Regions from separate parts of the Mus musculus genome. Here region 2 is reported to be linked to region 1. Evidence: microRNA targets listed by miRTarBase, many of them from high-throughput screens and not tested one by one. Region 1 holds a microRNA gene; the other region holds the end of a gene's coding sequence.
Evidence for each region. Region 1 holds the annotated microRNA mmu-miR-376a-3p (AUCGUAGAGGAAAAUCCACGU, at 1,374-1,394, opposite strand). A microRNA usually pairs through its seed, bases 2 to 8, with sites in the 3' UTR of a target mRNA and lowers its output. Matches are read on the target gene's strand: a 7mer-m8 pairs with bases 2 to 8, a 7mer-A1 pairs with bases 2 to 7 and ends in A, and an 8mer does both.

Region 1 (3,253 bases):
AAAGCCACCCTGGCAAGAAAGCCTCCACCTGTGCCCACAGCTGCAGCCTCCAGGAAGTCCTCCAGATGGTCATCGAAAGAGCAGGATTAGTACGCACAGCAACATGCATCATTCAAGAAAGAAGAAAAACCGGAAAACTAGCTCTCTGAAAGCCCCCACCCTCTTCCCCAAACTGGAGCAGTATGGAGACCTCTGGACCTTCCTTCTGCCCTTCTTGGGGAGTTCAGAGGACTATGGGAGACTTATCACTATAAACATCAGACCCATGCAAGGCTCACCGGAGGGAGGTGAGATGCCCCACCTCCACCCGACCCCCAGAACCAAGGTTCTTTAGACAACCTTAACATAAATTCATGCTGTGACACACAAGGTGAAGAGGACACCTGGAGAAGGAGGCTTAATGGTCTTGGTAGCCTCTGGGAGCATCTTTACTTTGGATATCCACCAACCCCCTTTCCCTTAAGTGGATGGGAAGCCTTAAAGGTGATTGTAAGGACAGGTTGGCAATGGTGGGCAGAAAACCCACATCTAAATGGGCACTGGCTTGCTGCTGACACTCTTTTGGCCTTAGAAGACGACCTGGCATGCACACCACACTGCGAAGGGCTGTCAGAAGGGGAGGCACAGTTTCCTAGGCTCTACCAAGAACAGCCCTTAGGATCAGCATTTTTTTCTAGAAAGTTCTCAGAAGCATGTGTGAGATCTGTAGGGTCAGACGAAGAAGGAGCTCAAGCTCGGTGGCCCACCATGCATTTACTTACCCTGGAGAGACCACACCCTTCTGCTAGGCCCAGGCCGCCGCCAGCCATGCTTCCAGGCAGCATTTGCTCCTCGAAGAGAGCTTGCCCTTGCATATTCATTTCGCGTAAAGCAAACACACAAAGGATAACCTCTCTTCAAGTAGCAAACGATAAGGAGCGCTGGGGAGAGCTGGTCCGGTGCGATGACAGATGCGATGACGGTCCGGATGTGAGCCTGAGGGGGCACATTTGGAGGTTACACTTCCAGATGATTCACATGCCCCCCCTTCTCCGCACACCCCCCAAAGGGTTACCCAAGGCGCCCTTACCCAAAATGATGGCCCACCCAGGAGCTCTCCAAGACATATCGCTACAGAAAAAAGAAGCCGACTCCAGAAAACATACACATGGTGAGCACACAGAGAAACAACTTCATTTGAGGTCAGAGAAGGGATATAAAGAACACAGTGGTCTCAGAACACATCACTGGGAGAGGCTGGCATATAGGCACACATCACACAAGTCACAAATCTATCTATCCCCGCCAAGCCCAGGAAGACGACGGATAGCACGCTTTCTTCGGTGAAGATGTCATGTCCTCGGTGGTTTCCCAAGCAGCATTTGATACTGAAAACGTGGATTTTCCTCTACGATTAGTCATTAATATTGTACTCATAGAAGGAGAATCTACCTTTTAAATATCAAAGAACAACTCGATCCAGGATGCTGTGAGCTTGTGCTTGTGTCGACAGAAATGGAAGTCCACTGGGCAGAGTGAGCAGGCTGCCCAAAGAGGCGGTATATCAGACCCAGATCAGACTAACACTCAGTTGGCTTCTTAAGGCCATTTCTGGCCACGCCCCACTCATTATTACATGATCTTCCCCCCCAGCCCCAGACCCTACAGAATCTTCCAGAAATAGTTCCAGAGCGACATTTGATACTGAAAAAGTGGATGTTCCTCTATGATTATCCAGGAAGCACGTAACCATAGAAGGAATATCCACCTTTTAAATACCAAAGAAGGACTGAGTTCCGGGAAGGACCAGGCTTGCTGCTTGGCTCATCTGAAACAGATTACAAGACAAAAAAAAAAAAAAAAATCCCCGCTTCTCAGGCAGAGGAAACAGAATGTTGAAAGGCGCCTCGGCCTCTGTGCCAAGCTGGCTCCACAGGCAGAGACCCAAAGGTGATGGTCAGCAGACATATGACATGAGAAACACACATGTTCTGCAGCTTACCATCTTCCCACTTACCGAGGAGGGCACTGCGCCCAGCCTCATCTCCCTGGTGGATCATGTCACCCAGGAAGCACATGAGACTCAAAACTCAGGCAAACCCATCAGATTGACCAGCAAACATAAAACCACAGAAGGGAAATCTACCTTTTAGATATCAGACTTAAACTCTTGGGACATCCAATAGGACAGTCCTATCTGCGACAGAAGGGACACAATGGGAAAGACTTGTTAGCTGTGGGGGATTCCAGAACGAGACCCCTGACCTCTGGCTGAGTTGGCAGCCCATGAGGGAAGCTCTCAAGATTGCTCATTGGCCCTTGGGCACCTGAGGACATGCTCTGTGGACCACTGACCCCCCACTTACCCAAGAGGGTGCACCTGTCCTGTCACTGCCCTGGTGGTGGCTTCAGCTCAGGCCCATTACCCAGCAGCATTTGACACTGAAAACGTGAAATTTCCTCTATGTTTAATCACAAAAAGCATAAACATAGAAGGAATATCCACCTTTTAAATACCAAAAGATTTAGTCCTGAAGAGAAAGAGCCGAGGCCTAATCCGTCAGAAATGAAGAAGGCAGCAGACAGGCGCCCTCGGCACAGCCCCCAGAGGACACAGATTCCAGGAACAACCTGGCTGTGGAAAGCACAGGCTGTGGAACCCATCTCTCCCTTTGTTCTCTGGGTGGGGGAAGACTGGAATAACCTGCTTTGTCCTAGGGGGCACTTTGTATTCAGAAACATCCCAGAACCACTTGAGATACTGAAAATGTGGGTGTTACCTCTATGATTAACCAGAGGCATAGAGGAGCACTCACCTTTTGAATATCAGAAAGTGAGCGACAGAAGTGTATCTAGAGCCCACCGTACAGTTAAACATAGCCCTGGTTGTCACACAGCCTAGTAGGGAGTTACTGTAAACCCCCACCCCCTCTTAGAGAGTTTATGACAAGAAATCTGTTCCCTTGTGATTTCCAAAACCAGTTCCACACCCATACAGCCCATCCTGGGTACCCTTGGGAGAGATGTCATCAAGGTGGCTGCTGGGGCATCCACGTAGGTGCCACGGAGCACTGGAGACATCAAGGAAGTTTTCTAGGAAATGGGCTAAGTCCAGAAGGCTCCAACACACAGGCTCAATGCATTAGTGTGACACTGTTGGGGATAGGTATAAAAGACACCTTGAGACATGGCTAAGCAGGACATTCATGACTTACTATCACCACACTACCAGGTCCTTACAAGATTAGCTCAAGTTCCTGTCCAATCTTTTTTG
Region 2 (3,253 bases), not on the chromosome of region 1:
AACATAGGAAGACCAGACACTCTCCCCTACCATAAATGAAATGTGTGGATTCTTTATAAAGTCATACAATTATGTAAACAAAACAGACTATTTTATTTGCAATGGCATTTGAATTCTAAACGCAAAAAGTCCATCTTTAAGAAGAAAACTAAGTGGCCTTCACTGGTGTGATGTTTTGCACATAATCTCCACAATGGCATGTGATATTTTTTCGATCTTAATGAGCTGCCAGACACTGGTATTACAGTCGACCTTAAGTAACTAGCATGCAAAAAACTGGTGTCAAGTGTTTCTGCGTTTTGGTTAATTACATCCTAGTTCAGAAGTACTAAAAAGGAGCAACGGGAATCCATTTACATTTCTAAACCTTAGGTACTAGGTTTTTGATGTTGCCATCCCATAACATGTTTAATTCCTCATATCTAAAAGTTGAAGCTACCAATAAGCAGGATTTTCGAAGCATTAAACCATGCCTGATTTGTATTACAAGTTATAAAGTTATGTACTTTCCACTTATAAACTCGCACCAAAACAAAAACGTTGCAGCACGACAACGAAATGGGAAGATTTGTTTTTCTTAGCAAGGGATTCTAGAGTGGCGTTATCACATAGTAAATGACAACTTAAAAAACTATCAGCCCAAGTTTCTGCTACACTTTTTACCGGCCCCACCACGATTTCTGCCCACCCTCCCGGGCCCACAAGGACCTAAGCGTGGCGCTGTGGACAACCTCTCGTCGCCCTCCGCCGCCGCCAACGTGAACTAACTGTCTCCGGGAAGCAGCCTCGGTGGCAGGGCCAGGTCTCGCGGCTGGCTTCCGGGAGCGCGCGCCCGCCCCCTACCCGCGCTGCGCTCCCCGTTCTCCGTTAGGCGCGCTCGCAAGGCTCGCTCAACAGCCAAGCGGAAGGGGCGGTCTTAAGGACAGCCCAGCGGAAGTGACGTGGCGGATAGAGGCGCACCGGAAGTGCTGTCACCAGGAAATCGTGTCATCGAATCTTGCTTCCAGGGCACATGGCTGGAGGGCTTCATTGCTGTCTTGTTTTATGTTTGGTAGCGTTTCTTTACGTAGCGCAGGCTGTCCTGGAACTCAGGATGCTGATTAGGCTGGCCTCGAACATAAGGTTTGCCTGGGACAAATGGCGAATGCCACCATGCTCAACCGGGTAGCGGCTTGCTTTTGCCCTGGTGACCAGGACCTGCTACCTCCATAGGGTGGGCGGGCGCGTACTTAGGGTCTCACCCACCAGGATCGAGTTCACAGCAAAACTGTTGAGGTTCCAGTCCTGACCCCATGGCCACATCGGTGCACAGCAGAGTCCTGGGTATCCAGAGGGGTGGACAAGGGATACCCACCAGGAATCTTGCCCTGTCCTAAACACCCCTATGCTGACACTGGTCACCACTCACTAATTAGCGTTCTCACAGCCCCAAAATCTTGTTATTACTACCTGATTATTAAACACTACCCAGGTAAGTGTCCTACCTACCAGACACAGCTGAGTTCTAACATTCATCCTCATGAAAGTGACGTCTTGATAAAGCATTCCCACCACTCCAGAGTTCTCTGAGAGCAGTATTTGCAGGCTACTTCCTTCTGCACTTAATTGGCTCAAAGTATTGAACAGTTGTAGCTACTAGGCATGAGCTCTAACCAACAACCTCCCAGAACAAAGCTGTATTGTCTACATACTGTCAAACATGAAATACAAAGGAAAAATATCTTGGGGTCCACAGATAGAGCTTAGTATTTAAAGGCCTTCAAATGTGGCCTCCCGGAACAGAGCAAACAGGCTCTATACTAGCCATGGTTTGAGATCCTGCTGAAATATAGCAAGAACTGAAAATGGTTCCCCACACCAAACCAGGTTAACACACGCATGCTCACTCATACCTGCAAAAGACACACACACATAAAAACTGAGAGGGGAGGTAGGATAATTTGTCACCAAGCTTGAAGAACTTCATTCAACCCCTGGAAGCCAGGGTGCTGGGGTATACCAATTCCTATAAAATTGTCCTGACCCCCACATGAGCCTCACACATACACAATAAATATACTCAAATATTCTTTAGTTTTATGTAGCATATCATGATCAAAACCACAGGGCCTTTTTAACCCTTCTTGGATCAAGTAGCCACGAAGTTTGGGCCTTTGCTTCACTCAAGATGGACTGTATGTAGTCCTGGTTGGCCTAGGGAGAGATTTATCCACCCCACCCCCTGCACTGCCATTAAAGTTGTATTTTAAAAGAGCTACATCCCAAACAAGGCTACCAGAAAACTTTGCACAACGTAATTACATAAACTCAAGAGAAACATTTTTTTATTGCTATCTCCACGATGGAAGAGAGAACAAAAGCCCATTTACCTAACAGGGTATAACTATTCAGTAGCCATGGTACAAAGGCGGCACTGCTCTATGACTTTTCAAATTGTTAACTTTATTTAAATTGAACAATATTTCTTAAAACTGCATTTAGCGTCAAGATCATTGATGAAAATCACCAGTATTTGTAAAGCAGAAACATTCATGTTAACAAAACTAGTTTTTACTTTGGAGCTTATTCTTTAAGCAAATTATGGAGAATGGAGAGAAAAGAAAGTAGGTTATTTACAGAAGATATCTACATATTTTATTTTAATATTTAAGAATACTCAGGTACAAACTTGGTGACAGAAAAGACCTCAGGACACGCTGGCATCTCAGGAGCAATCTTCAAAGGTTTAGTTTTCTCAATTTCTAGCAATGCCTAAGATGCTTCCTCATCTTCAATCTTGGGAGCCAAATAATACTTTAAGTGTCCCATGTCAGCAATTTTATACTCTACAACTGAAAGACAGGAAAAATTAAACCACCGAATACTATAAATACCACATTACAAAACAATGTTCAAACTTATCATCTTACCAAGGGGCACATCTGCAGACATACTGAGTGTTACTGTAGGAGACAGTGGAGTGGCTTTTGTGAAAAAGTTCAGGTACCTCAGAGCAAACGTTAGGTGAACAGGCTCATTCATCTCTATGGTTACCTAGAGGAGAAAACAGGCTCACTGTAGACATCAGAAACTCACACTATTAGATCACGGTATTATACCACAAAGCAAAACAAATAGTTATCATTTTGGAAGGGTTGATGAAAACCTTGACTAAAGAAGAAAAAAGTCTAGCTTGCCCATCCTGTAGAGCCACACCCCAAGCAATCAAAACAAAGGAGAAAGTTGTTCCTATTCAGATTGTACATACTTCTCT

Region 2: miRTarBase lists Pcna as a target of mmu-miR-376a-3p. The part of its 3' UTR that is shown has no 7-base or 8-base seed match.

Annotation. Positions count from the first base shown.
Region 1 is chr12:109,721,965-109,725,217 of GRCm38, reverse strand. Mir376a (microRNA 376a) reads right to left here and starts at 1,437; the gene lies at 1,370-1,437. It overlaps Mir376c (microRNA 376c), which reads right to left and starts at 2,500; the gene lies at 2,415-2,500. It overlaps Mir654 (microRNA 654), which reads right to left and starts at 2,000; the gene lies at 1,917-2,000. Mir376b (microRNA 376b) reads right to left here and starts at 1,760; the gene lies at 1,679-1,760. It also overlaps Mir300.
Region 2 is chr2:132,246,865-132,250,117 of GRCm38, forward strand. Pcna (proliferating cell nuclear antigen) reads right to left here. Exons shown (of 6, transcript NM_011045.2): 5 at 2,910-3,033; 6 at 2,422-2,831. The coding sequence ends at 2,752. It overlaps Tmem230 (transmembrane protein 230), which reads right to left and starts at 924. Exons shown (of 4, transcript NM_027478.3): 1 at 709-924.